2 linked regions of the Mytilus edulis genome follow. The protein of the gene in region 1 purifies or fractionates together with the protein of each later gene. This does not show direct contact. Links are inferred from orthologs where the notes say so. Each region holds a gene or a part of one and is shown on either strand. Other genes may lie near its edges.

Evidence for each region.
Region 2: the proteins of prohibitin 1-like (region 1) and stomatin-like protein stl-1 purify together in Homo sapiens (affinity purification with western blotting; 3 studies listed by BioGRID, with this or other methods). This does not show direct contact. The link is inferred for Mytilus edulis from reciprocal best matches to the Homo sapiens genes PHB1 and STOML2.

The regions. Positions count from the first base shown.
Region 1 is NC_092357.1:67,337,366-67,344,689, reverse strand, and holds the start of prohibitin 1-like, read right to left. Parts: upstream 3,034-7,324; 5' UTR 2,875-3,033; coding exon 2,793-2,874; intron 1,886-2,792; coding exon 1,724-1,885; intron 856-1,723; coding exon 713-855; intron 1-712.
Region 2 is NC_092347.1:39,484,451-39,491,871, forward strand, and holds the start of stomatin-like protein stl-1, read left to right. Parts: upstream 1-4,409; 5' UTR 4,410-4,520; coding exon 4,521-4,562; intron 4,563-7,421. UniProt on the Homo sapiens protein: Mitochondrial protein that probably regulates the biogenesis and the activity of mitochondria.

The DNA.
Region 1 (7,324 bases):
GCCTTATAGCTTGCTGTTCATGCTGTTTGATGTGAGCCAAGGCTTTATGTTGAAGACTGTACTTTGACCTTTTACAAATTGTGACTTAGATGGAGAGTTGTCTCATTGGCACTCATACCATACATGCCATATCTTCTTATACAGATTTACTTTATATTTATTCAGATTGGTAGGGTTTTATTTTCTGTTCTTTCAAGGCTACATTTAACAATTAACAATGTATTGACAATTTGAAAAAAATGTAAATATTAAATAAATGTGTTTGTGCTTAATTTAGATTTTTGAGTCAACCGCAATCATTGAACATGTTGAATGAGGAACATGCAAATAAAATTATCAGTAGAAAAGGGATTTTTGTTTCAGATTACATTTTTTTACCCATTGAGTTTATCAAATTGTCTATCTTGGAGATATTATTACTTCAATACAGCCAAATGGAATATGGCAGAAGGAATAAGGGTAAGGGTATGCCAGGTAGTTTCATATTCCGGAAACAGTTTTCAGATGTGTGCTTGACTTTTAACATTAACTTTCTCTCTTTCTGTTTTACAATACTATAACTTTGCATTTTTCTAATTTTAATAGACAATATATTTCAAGACGTTCATTTGTGTAGTGATTTTCCGGTAGGAAATAGGATAGCTCTGGTGAAATCAAACACATACTTTTGATGTTAACAAGAGACGCTGCATCTCTAATCAAATTTACTCACCACTACAGCCTTTAAGACTTCATTTGTGATGGATGGAAGAATTCTTTCATCGTAATCAAGACCAACATTTGTGTATATATTTGGGAGGGCATCAGCCTTTGGTCTGAATAAAATTCTCAATGTGACATTAACGTTCTGTAAATCTGAAAACATAAAATGATTATTCTTTGATTTCTCAAAAACCATCATATAGAAAAGTGCAAAGATTTTGTATACTAACAAAATTGGGAAAATAAGCAAATAATATGCATGATATAAACACGATAAATATACGGGAAATGTGTCAACTCAAGAAAGTTCTGTAAAAGCGACTCTACCCAAATTTTTACTTGATCTGAGTTTTGAGGTACATGTAATTTAGGCATTGTGTATGAGTTTCTTAACATTTGTTTTTCAGAACAAAAAAACAAAGCCAATTTTGAGACAAACTGATGTATGGACCACGAACAGACAGACAAGGATATAACTTAATACCCCCTCCCCTGCAGCAGAGGCTGAAACATTCCTTTAAAAGAAAACAATTCAATATTCTTTGTTTTTTACCCTTCTGATAACAAGTTGAAATCATGCTATCATTGAAGACTAAATGAAAATAATGTTGCCCTAATAAATGTATATTTTATTTCTTATGGATTGCTATCTCAATGATTTATTATATACCCCATGCCATAACCCCTTTAAATATAAGCAAAACATAATCATGATAATGTACTAGGATGTTTTAAAATTATTTTATCTACCAGGCATCTGATTTAAACACAATCAAGTTAATCAGCTACATCCTGTAGTCATAGGCGGATCCAGGGGTGGGGCCCCCCCTTTTGTGGGAAAAATTTGGTTATATAGGGAATCATTGAAGCATGACTGGAGAGGGCCCCCCCCTTAGGTCAGTCAGCGGGCCCCCCTTAGGAAAAGTTCTGGATCCGCCACTGGTAGTTAGTAGTTATCACAAACGAATAGTTTTTTCGATAGTTTCCGTTGTATATTATTATCAATGGAAAATTTTCCTACCTTTGCTTCCTGTAACAACAGGAACACTTCTTGGTCTTGATCGAATGTCAAATATGATTGGTTTCTGTACCCATGGTATCAAAAAATGTGTCCCTTCTCCAGAAACTATGTCTTGTACTCCTCTGAATCTGTCAAATATAACTGCTCTATGACCACCATCAACTGAAAAAATAGAAAAGAATACATTTTCTATCATTGTGATATATATACGTGTTCTTTAACCAATAAAAAATTTGATTTTAATATTGAAAACCTTAAAAAAAATCATGCATGTCATGATGTTAACAATGCAGGACAACTCAGCCTAGAGACAACTGGGTACTAAATAAAACCTGATCAAACAACATTGTCTAAAAGTTGTGATACACAGTCTGATTTGTCTAATCATTGTTTAAAGTCTTTGAGTTATCATGTGATTATGACAGCCCAACTTCTGAGAAAAAGTTTGGTTCATGTAAGAAACTCATTTATGTAGTCAAATCTTTCCTATTTATACTAAATATAACTTTGTCCAAGTCGATTGTATAGATGGTCAGAGTTTACGTATTGACGGTCCAAGATGACTTTTATAGCGGACTATGACTTTTAAATCATACTACATCTTCTTTTTTATAATTAAAAGATGTTCTGAGTTGTCTTTTCTTTGAAATCAGCACATTTTATCTCAGTGACTAGTTGTCTTGCACCTGATGTAAGTTATAGGTCTGGTGATGAAATCAAAGCCAGAACAATGTCAATGACCTACTTTACTGCAACCTTGTTTTGAGTTCACATGCATTTCAATTGTTGTTAATTTTTACCTCTGAGAGCCAGTATTGTTTCTACTATACTAAAATAAAATTGAAATATGAAGGTCAATAAGGACCACTGGCACTGAATCGATTATTGAACCCACATGACTTCTAGACCTGTGGCTGTGCAGCTGATTACATAATTGTGTAACATTTTAGAAATTAAATTACGAATCTCAAATCTACGGTCAGTCAAATTTAACATATACACAATATCTTAGTACGTCAAACTCATCTTCGACAAGACGAAATAAGGTTTTCAAAAAGATGAAGTTTACCGTTGTATAATGCTGTCTGAGCGACTCCACCGACTAGAGCAACACCAAGGCCTAGATATCCAATTTTACTTAGAAAAGACATTGTTTATGGCGTTTGTGGTGGTTAAGAAAGAATATATTGCTCAAAAATGTTGTTGTCACACACTCTGAATAAAAAAGGATGATAAAATCCAAGAAAGGTCAACTTTTTTTGGTCAAGGCAGCATGCTATGAAAACCGGATATTTTATAAAACTTTTACCGGACGACGGATACGAACCTGTTTTAAATACGGATGAAGGGTGTTTTTTTTAGAAGTAATTTGGTAATTTGCCACAATTTATTTAAAAAAAAAGAAATTAATGTAGTATGATTAACCATGACAAAAAAACCTATCTAGAGGATATAGACAAATACTTTTAGAATATTCAAAAAAATGTGATCCTATTCATAATTAAAAGATTCAAGAATAGAACATATCTCAGGTAAGTATAAATCCATACAAACATCACATTCAAGCTTATTACATATATGAACTAGATGTATTTTGACTTCTTCTTAAAACTTTGGATATATAAACTGCACGACAAATCACGGTCAAATAGTGGTTCACACTACCAGCAGTTAGTAATGACTTCTGTTTTTGTCACGTATTACATGTCTCTGATATAAATTAGGCAGTGGATATTTTGCCAGCTCCGGCAAAATAGCGATCTATATAGAGTTTTACTATTTTGCTGGTCTTATCTCCGATTTTAATATGACTATATATGAAATCCAAATTTATTGAAACTATTTATGCATAAATGATATGTGTTGCTAGATGTGATCAATTACTCTGTTTTCGCCTTGCATCCTGGGTCCTAGGTCTGGTGTATTCACTTATAGTGACCTGGCTCATTAAATCATATGTACACACGATATTTATGTTTATCTTGTAAAGCATTTTGATGTTGTTGAATTTTTATATAAAAACTAATATGATATGCTTATCAATAAAAGAATTAGAGTTATCATTTTTCATATGGGTTTGCATGTTTAGTAAGTAGTAAACAATGCATATCTTCTATTTCAATACAGATTGTTTACAGACTTCCTTTTAAAGAAAAGAAAACTAGTATCAGTTTTAGTATGTATGCTTTTAAAATGTTTTAAAAAAGACATGTTTTAGAGACTTCTAATTAAAATAAAGAATATAAACTTTTATATGGACGCTTTGTATATATAAATGTGCTATAGAAGACTTATTTGTATAAGGTTTCTTTTCCAAGTGTATATTTCTATATTTTTTCTATTCTTAATCTGTATACTTCTAAGTCTTGATCTTAAAACCGGCAAAATAGCAAAACTATTTATAAATAAAGTTATTTTGCCGGAGTCGGCAAAATAGCGCCAAGGATGCACCTATTAATTACCATTGATGTGGCCATATTTCTTATCAATCAAATGTTAACAATTTCTACACTCTGAATTGTTCACTGACTGAATTATAAACGACTTTCTACTCCCAGGAATAGCTATAGATTGCATAAATAGTGGTTTGTCAAACGTTTTGGAATCGGGAGTATTCGAAGCTCGTTAACGAATTACCAATCTCCCGACCTATTTTCCTCGATTTGGACATAACTGAGCGAGACTTAAAATGATCATCATGACATGAGTGTCATATATGGAGCAGTGCGTGTTAGGAGCATCCGATATTACCACATGCCGATTTTGTAACCTAAAATATTGTACATGTCCCCCATGAAATATTGTCTATCGGACAAAAGTTCATATAGAATATTGTCCACTGACAGTATTTCATAATGAAATAGTGACTTTCTCCATGAAATTTTGTCACCTCCTTCTGGACAATATTTCACTATGAAATTCTGTTCATGATAATGCCTCACTATAAAATACTGGCTTTGAAAATATTTTTTAATCGAATTATTACACTATTAGAAATAGCACACAAGCATGCAGCATGCAGCATGCACATTTTCAAATTTATGACTGAAATGGTTTTGTATAGAAAGGAATTTAAAGTATTACTAATAGAGGGTGGTAATGGGGGTACCTTCATGACGAATAACGGTAAAAAATTCTTGCCAAATGACGTTAACGGTAATTTTTGGTGCATGACGATAAATTATGCACTTTCTTAATTTTAGACCCAAAAAAATGGAATGATTTTCACGTTATTTTTTTCCACAAATAACGGTAACGATAATTATTTGAGACCTCTGACGAATCACGATAAGGATATTTTGACGAATCACGGAAATTTCACGCTAACGGTAGCCGAAAATGGCCGTTTGACGCCTGACGGTATAGGGCATTATTACGATCTATTACCCTTTCAATAGTGAGTTTCAAATTTTCATAGATATATTACAAATGGTTAATTATAAAGGCAACAGCTAGTATACCGCTGTTCGAAATTCATAAATCGATAGAGAAAAAATAAATCCGGGTTACAAACTAAAACTGAGGGAAACGTATCAAACGGCAAACGTCAAACGGTCATTTTCGGCTGCTGTTAGCTTCAAATAGATTAAAATTTTAACGAGGTTCGTCAAAATAACTTTTTCGAAACATATATTGAATAAACTATTCGCCATGTAATGAAACATGCCTGATTCATTTAAATTATAATTTTTAAAAGTCTAAGCGTTATTTTGAAAAGTAAAAAAAAGAGAAAAGTTAACAGATTAGGTGTACAGACCTGCCAACTATCCCGATTTTCGCGGTATCATCCCGATTTTCATCCCTCAACCCGAATCCCGATATCGGGATTCTAAAACAAGTCAAAATCCCGATTTTCACAAAATATACCCGAAAAAATTATTTGGTGTCCGATTTTGAAGTTTTTCTGATAATCTATAATTTTACCTGGGGACATATTATGACAAGTTTACAATACTACGCTAATCAACGGTCACAACAGGTGTCATAATTTGTTGTTGCAAGTAATTGGATTACCTGATTGGTCATAACAATCCTCAATATTAATTAATATTATTATTTGTAAACAGAAAGTCGGTCAGTTGGCCTTTCATTTTTAATCAATTTATCATACGAGCACAATTTGCAACGTTTACCGTAGTTCCACAACGAAATCGTAATTAACTTAAAGATGAGAACTGTATTGAACTCTTAAAAAAACATTGTTTATCTTGAAATCCATTTAATTTTTGAAATCAGACATGTGTCTGTTGATTTAAAATCGACGCCATTTTGTATTCTTCTACTGTGAATAAACCTCCGCCGGTAAGAGCACCTCCGAACACAAAGAAAGATAACTCAACTTTTATCCATTTTCTCATTAATACTGATAGACTTAATCAAAATCTGTATTTATCCTTCTAACTTTAGGACATATAGGTTTATGTCTTTTGAGTCATGGTCCAAAAGATAAGGTTTTTGGAGGGGAAAAAGGGGTTTTCACTAAGTATCCTTTATTTTTTTAATGCCATTTTTCTCTATTCTTAAGTTATTTTGTCAATTTTAAAATAAGTACAAGAATCATGCCAATTAAAGAAATCAAGGCTTATAAGATCATCATCAGTATACCAAAAGAAAAAAGAAGAGACATGAGACTATTTTAAGAGTAAAAAACAGTGCACACAGAAACGCCGCAAAAATTGTCCCTTAAAAATATGGTCGCGCACTAAATCCCCCATGGAGATTTTTAAAAGTTGGCAGGTCTGGGTGTAACAAAGGATTTGTCAGTGACAGTAAACAAAATCTTGGTGTAACAGGTGCCCTTTTATAATACGTTAACATTACAGATCAGTTTCCGACATTTGTTTTTGCATTTACTTAGTTCATAGACGGAAACAGACCGGTCTTTTGGGCGCATGCGTGGCTGTATGATGCAAAACGTGGTTGAGAACTGAAATCGAAAATAACAAAGTTTAGGCGACTAGACCAAAATTTGAGTGGTAAGTTAACGATAACATCTTCATTGTGTATTTTGGTCAACTGCTATTAACCCTTTTTGAATGTAATTTACTGTCAAACTGCAATTTGAAAGTGAATAAAATGTTGGGGACGCTATCAGGCCATCTTGCGCCACAAAAGAAACTAGACTTTCTTATATGACGTTAAATATCCCATGTGTAAATGAATGTACTTGTTATTGTTTAAATGTGTTAACGAAGGAGTACACAAAACATTTAAAAAGTTTGTTTTTAATTGAGAAAATTATACACGTGTATATTTAGGTTTTGTAGGGGAAATAACTCTTGATTCGAAAACCATGTACCTTTTCTTTTGTAGTTCCCTCCTTTCTATGACCATTAGGATGACACTGATAATTTATATTGAAAGTATCTGTACACTTTGATAAACTTAAAATCCTTCTATATCTTTTTTTATGAACACTGCCATTATATTGTCAATCTGGCATCATGTTCTGATTTGAAATGTTAGTTTTTAGTGATGGTTTGTGGTACAGTATCCTCAAGGTGCCTCTTTTTATCTTTATTATTTCTGTTGCTGCTTCATTTTATATTTTGTCAAGATTAAGGTTCATCATAAGGAATTGAAAAATATGGCCGTGTTTAC
Region 2 (7,421 bases), on another chromosome or scaffold:
TCGATTTATACATTAATAATGATTTGTGGTAAGATATTCTCTTAGTAATAGGAATAATTCCAGATTCCTTAAATAGTTCACTGGATGGTTTACGAATATCGTGTTCGTTTAAAATAATTCTAGCTGCCCTTTTTTGCAATTTTAGTAAACTGTCAACTAAAAACTTGTTACAGTTTCCCCATACTGAACAACAGTAATCCAAATGTGAAAGAATATACGCATTGTAAAATAGAATTCGTGCATTGTGATTCAAGAATTTCTTGATTCTTTTTAATAAAGCTAATGAAGAATTAACTTTTTTGATTATATGATTAATTTGATCATACCAAGAAAGAGTTTTGTCAACAAAAATACCTAGTACTTTTTCACAGTGACTTTCATTAATCTTTTGGCCATTAATGGATACATTTAATGTGTCATTACACATCACAGACAGTTTTTGTTTTGAACCTATACACATTGTCTTAGTTTTTGACACATTAACTAACATTTTGTTTTCATCAACCCATTGACAAATATTTTCTAATACAACATTGAGTGTCTGACTTATATACCTTTTGTCTTTTCCAATTACAGAAATAGTGCTATTATCAGCAAAAAGATCAAGATAATGATTAGGATTACACAAATGCAAATCACTAATAAATATCAAGAATAATATAGGACCTAAAACGGACCCTTGAGGTACACCTGCTTTTAATGTAGATACATCTGAAAAAGTATTTGAAATTGATACGACTTGATGTCTATCAGCTAAATACGAAGTAAACCAATGAATAGAATTATAAGAACATTTATATTTTTGTAATTTTTGAAGGAGCAGTTTGTGATTTAGAAGATCAAAAGCTTTACACAGATCTAAAAATACTGCCCCTACTAAATTTCCTTCATCAATGGCTTTTAACCATTTATCTAACAAAGAAGTCATAGCAGTTTGACAGGAATGGTTTGCACGAAAGCCTGATTGCATGACATACAATAGATTATATTTGTTTAGAAAATTCATCAAATGAGTTTTTACGTGTCGCTCAAGGATCTTAGATAGTAATAGTAAAATTGCAATAGGTCTGTAGTTAAAAACATCATTTTTTTAACCTTTATTTTTTAAATACTGGTAAAACTTTAGCCAGTTTGAATAACGATGGATATACTGATTTTCTGATGCTTAAATTAAAAATGTGGCATAATTGAACTGAAATTAGGTGTGATGACATTTTTAAAAACTTTGCACTGATATTATCAAGACCTGTTGCTTTTTTCTCATCAAGTGTGATTAATTGATGGAGAACAAATTCACTAGTTATTTGTGGTATGGTAAAAAAGACATTATCTGGTACACGACATGAAATATAATTATCAAGTTTTCCAGAACAACTGGTGCTGTGGTTTGAATTAAGATTAACATTTTCAGTAATATTTGAAAAATAATTATTGAAAGTATCAGCAATGCTTTTAGGGTCTGTAATTGGTTTATTACTACAGTCATTTAAGATTGCATGGTCATGATGATTTTCACTACCATTTACATTATGCAAGTGTTTCCATAATTTGCTTCTATTTCCTTTTTCTTGTTCTAATACTTCAGTATAAAAATTTTGTTTTGAATTTTCTATGAGGTATTTAACCTTGTTTCTCCAAAATTTATAGTTATATGTGTCTTTTTTCTTATGATAATAATCACGTTTTTTCATGCCCTCCATAATTTCATCATTTATCCACTGATTTTGATAAACATGCTTAACTCGCTTTTTAATGAGAGGAGCATGATGATTTAACACTTCAGTAACAATATTTATAAAACTTTGTAGCTCTTCATCAGGGTCATCAATTTCTAGTATACTGTCAAAGGAACACTGAGATAAATGGTGAATAAAATCAGTCTCGTTGAAATATTTTGTAGATCTATAAGTTATATAATCATGAATTTGCTTTTTCGTTTTAAACCCTCTTTTATGAGAAATACATACTGGATAGTGATCACTGATTGAATATTTTGGAACTGCAATATAATTAATATTTTCTGGCAGATAACAATACATATGGTCAATTAAAGTAGATGAAGTTTTAGTTACTCTGGTAGGTTCTGTAACCATTTGACTCATGTTGAAAATATTTTTGATGTGTGACCACTTAGCATGGTTTTTACTTGACATTATATCAATATTAAAATATCCCATAACAATAGTTTCCTTTTCTTCAGTGTCAACTTTTAACATCATGGTTTCAAACATAGTAACCCAGTTAGCATAACTGTTAGGTGGTCTATATACATAACCTAGTAAAATAGGCTTTTGATGAATATTAATAATTTCTATCCACATTGACTCAATTTCTTGCATTTCCAAATCGTCCCTTCTAAGCGTATTTATTTGATTTGAAGTATAAAGTAAAAGCCCACCCCCAGATTTATCAATTCTGTCTTTTCTATGTAAATTGTACCCTAGAATAATGATCTCTTTATTTTTGACACTGTTTGACAAAAAAGTTTCACTCAAACATAAAATATGCGTGTTTGACTTTGATTCCGAAATTAAGTATTGTATTTCTGCAAATTTTGGTAAAACATGGTTTATATTTAAGTGACAAATGTTAAGGTATTTGTGTGGGAATATAAAAGGATTGATCTGGGTATATTTGGAGGATTCTGATTTTTGCTCAAGAAGAAAAATAGCAATACACATATATACAATGAGAATGACTATAGAATGATATAAAATACAATCGTTTGCTTGACTTGAGCAGATTTTAAAAGTTTCTTCTAATTCCAGACGTCTGGACGAAATGAATGTGGATGTTAATAATCTTGATTGGTTGTCTCTAATGGCGCATATCTCCTCCCTGTTATCCTCTCCGAATAAAAATTTTGTTCAAATTGTGAATTTGAATTGTACAATCTAAGAATTGTGTTAACAAAAGAAATAATGTTATGGCTTAGAACTTTAGCACCGTCTACGTTGGTATGTACATGGTCCTGAAAAAGTAATTGATTAGGACGATTGCCGTACAAAAAGTCTAACGTGTTATCCAGTATTTTCACTTGATGTCTTCAACTGTTAGTAACTGCTGGTTGACTTCAGAAATAATTTGGTTTGACTTGTAATCTGTAGGCCTTGGTAGAATTGATGAAATAATTATTTGCGTTTCCGGTAAGCTCTGTTTCACCGTGTGAATAAGATGATGGATTGAATACGAAAAGTAAACATAGATTCGGCTATTTTTTTTATTATCTTCTAAATCAATAAGTTCTATATGTTTGCTGCAAATCCTCATCTTCAAACGCATTGGCCGTTCTTTATTTAGCGATAGTCTACACACATATCTTTGTTTAATGACTTGTGATGTACGATCCAAAATAATGATTAATAATTCCATACGAAATTCCAATGAGCAAACTATTTTCTCGATGATTTCGCAATGTGTTATAGTTCGCGCGAGATGCAGGATTTCCTTTACTATTCTATTTTTAGGATTATTTGTTTACAAAAGGTAATTTATGGTCAGATCGGTTCTTTTTATGTTGTAGTGTAAACGCATTGAATTACATAAGATCGATCTCGTCCATTAAAGATACATTATTTTTTTTTAAATGCTTCCCGAGAACTTAATCTTATAAATAAGTATCTCATATAACTGTTTCAAATCCCACAATCACGGGAATAACTAAGTTCGGGTACATGCATGTTTTGTTTATCAAATGTGAATCAAACCTGAAAATTCGGTGTAAACAATATTTTTGTAACTCGCAACTCGACTTTCTTAACTCGCAGCTCGACTTTCTTAACTCGCAACTCGACTTTCTTAACTCGCAACTCGACTTGTGTAACTCGCAACTCGACTTTCGTAACTCGCAACTCGACTTTTGTAACTCGCAACTCGACTTTCGTAACTCGCAACTCGACTTTCGTAACTCGCAACTCGACTTTCGTAACTCGCAACTCGACTTTCCTAACTCTCAACTCGACTTTCCTAACTCGAACTCGAATTTCTTAACTCGCAACTCGACTTTCATAACTCGCAACTCGACTTTCTTAACTCGCAACTCGACTTTCTTAACTCGCAACTCGACTTTCGTAACTCGCAACTTGCAACTCGACGATAAGAAACCCTCAGTCACATAAGTCCCGCTCGACTTCACACTATACAGATTTTATAAGTCCCACTGACCTTGACTGCTAGTTAAAGTTACACACACTACATGTCTGAACTACTCTATTTAGAATTCAGAACTATGTTACAAATTAAACAAACGTTAGTGGTTGTTCATCTGCTGACATATTACACAATAAAACTGAATCAAATGTTTCTTTTTGTTCAATTATCAGGAAAGTACATGCATATTCCGGAAAGTGGACCGGAAAAGTTTTGTTTGTTATATCGAACTGGTTTACTAATTTCTTCAGTCCTATTGCTCAAGGTTGAAATTTTTAATTGAATTCAGTAGAAAAGTATTTGCATGCTGAAATCTTCTCCCGGTCTTACATAAACATAATTAGAGGATAAACCTATGTATTACAGATAAAATGTTTAAAACACCAAGCATCAGAAGTGCAAGACTAATAAAGGTAATTTTAAAGATCCGTATTCAGAAATTATAGCAAAAACATAGAAGTCTTTTATCTGTTTGCCGTGTCAACAGGTTGGATAGTCTTTGAAAATGAAAGGCGAAATGCCGAAATCGATGGGTCACTGTGAAAACAGTCTGATTATGAGAAAATAAAGGTTGGCAGGTAGGTTAAACTTACATAAATGAAGAGATAAATGAAAAATGAACAGATTGATGCCCATTCATATAATTCCAAGGCCGCCAGTCGGCACCAGAAGCGACGAAGCAGCGCATCTATTTTGGATGGGCAAGTATCCACTTTTTGATATGGGATGAGCTCTGACGTCCCACGGCCCCAGCTTGTCTGGCAAAACAGCCGTTGGACGTCAGAGTAATCTCTGACTACAGGTTGGAAAGATCCACAGATAAAATTGGGATCAGCATTTATGTGTATATCTACCCAGGATCTCCTGTAGTTGGTGATCGCAATACTGGTATAAAAATTTTGTACCAGTATTGTATTCCAGTATTGTACAAGTATTGTGTTTTTTTTTTAAATAAACAATACATATATTAGGTTATTCATCTTGTATTAAAGGTGTCACATACATGTATACATGTATATGCATGATGAAAGTAACATATGATATGACATGAATGATTGTATGTTTTACTTCAGATGATGCCAATGATGATACACTGCGATTGTCATCAAAGAAAGTGTTAAATCTTCTGATGTTTTTTTTCTTAACATGCTTAAGGGAACTGTACATACTGTCTCAGCATTTTAACAAACTCTTTACTTTCTGCTATGTTTTCTTTCTTAGACTAATAGTATGTTTTAGGGAATTTTATATTGGCATGGCTGTTAGGCAGCAACCATTTGATTTTCTGGGGGGGGCTATGGGTTTTTTTTCTGTGCAAACTTTTTTTTTCGCCTTCGGCGAAGAACAATCTATTTTTTTAGCGACAAACCGAAGACAATTTTTTTCTTTCAATTTTAGCATTACATATAGTGGCAGCTGAGGGTGAAACAAACAATTTTTTTTACTCAGGGTCCAAAACAAATTATTTTTTTCACCAAAACCTGGAAACAAACTTTTTTTTCCAAAAAAAAACCATAGCCCCACCCCAGAAAATCAAATGGTTGCTGCCTTACAGCTTCTGTATCATCAGCATTGGAATTGTCTGCTTTTATCATTTGTTTATTTTATTTTATCTAAATTGACTTAAATAAAATATAGAAATATGATAAAATTATTAGCAATTGTTTGATTAATATATACAATGATATAAGTTAATTACAATAATCTTTTGTTTATTTGTACAAGCAAGGATTTGTATAGTATTATTATACAAATCCTTGGTACAAGTATAGTAATTATTTTTAACTGGTTGTTAATTAATTAATTAAGTTCACAATTATCATCTATATAATCTTAAAAGTTTATTTAATGTCCATTTGATCTTTAATATCTAGATTTGCTTAAAATTCATTGCGAAATTCTTTAATTTTACTTTCCGATGTATTGATGATGTTTTATCATTGAACAACCCATACTTCAGCAAATACTTACATCTCATATATCCCAGTGAACTTGAAATTAAGGATACTACTGATACTCGAAGGACTGCTTCATACCTTGATCTTTTCCTCAATATTGACGTAGATGGACGACTTCACACGAAAATCTATGATAAACGGGACGATTTCAACTTCCCAATTATCAATTTCCCATTTCTCAGCAGTAACATACCCTCTGCCCCTTCGTATGGTGTTTACATATCACAATTGATACGTTATTCACGTGCTTGTTCACACTATACGGACTTCATATACAGGAGTGTGCTCCTTATGCAGAAACTGCTCCAACAAAGTTATGAGGAGGACAGATTAAAATTGACACTCCGTAAATTTTATGGACACCATCACGAATTGGTGGATCCATATGATGTCTCTTTAACCAAACTAGCTAAGGACATTTTTACCACATGGTAGATTGTGGTTTGTCATTATGTCGTCTAATCTTTTAATTACCAACTGTGACTTATTCCCGATTGTGACTGTTTTGCTGAATGTGAATTCGCATTACTATAAGACGTGTTTCTGTACTTGTTTATCCCAAATTCATGTATTTAGTTTACATGTTTAATGTTATATTTGTAATTCTCATCGGATTTTGTCAAATGTGTTGACGTCTTTTTATTATATTTAGGTGTTACGGATAGAAAAATTAATCACCGCCTTTATTAATTATATTAAATTTTGTACGATTATTTACGTTTGAAGTTGGATTCATAACAAACTGGACATATATATATTACAGTTAATTGCTATTAATAAGTATTGCAATATGCATTTTGTTTAAATTAATTATCAGTATTTAGTTCTGATATAATCTTAAATCAATCCTAATTCTATCTCACTTTGATAGTTTTTCATATGTGACGTCATGCTGTTTCTAAATTTCATAAATTCAAATGTGGCATAACGTTTGTACCTTTTCGCCATCTTATGTGACGTCACATTTTTGTAATTACGTTGACGCCTGGACTGATTCGGATGTGTCTATTCTGTGTTAAACTTTAATAGCATTATGTATTCGGGTTTAGTTTTCTGTAATTAGTTAATACTTTAGTTTCATTATGTATATCTCTTTCATATTCATTTGTTAAAATTTACTGTTTGCAATAGCATAAATTGTTCTATATAATAAGGATGTTCTTATCCCGGGCATAAAAACAATGCCGTATTTGGCAAAACCTTTTCAACTTTTGATCTTCAGTGCTGTACAACTTTGTACCTTTTTCACTTTCGATCTTTTATATCTGGGCGTTATGTATTCGGGTTTAGTTTTCTGTAATTAGTTAATACTTC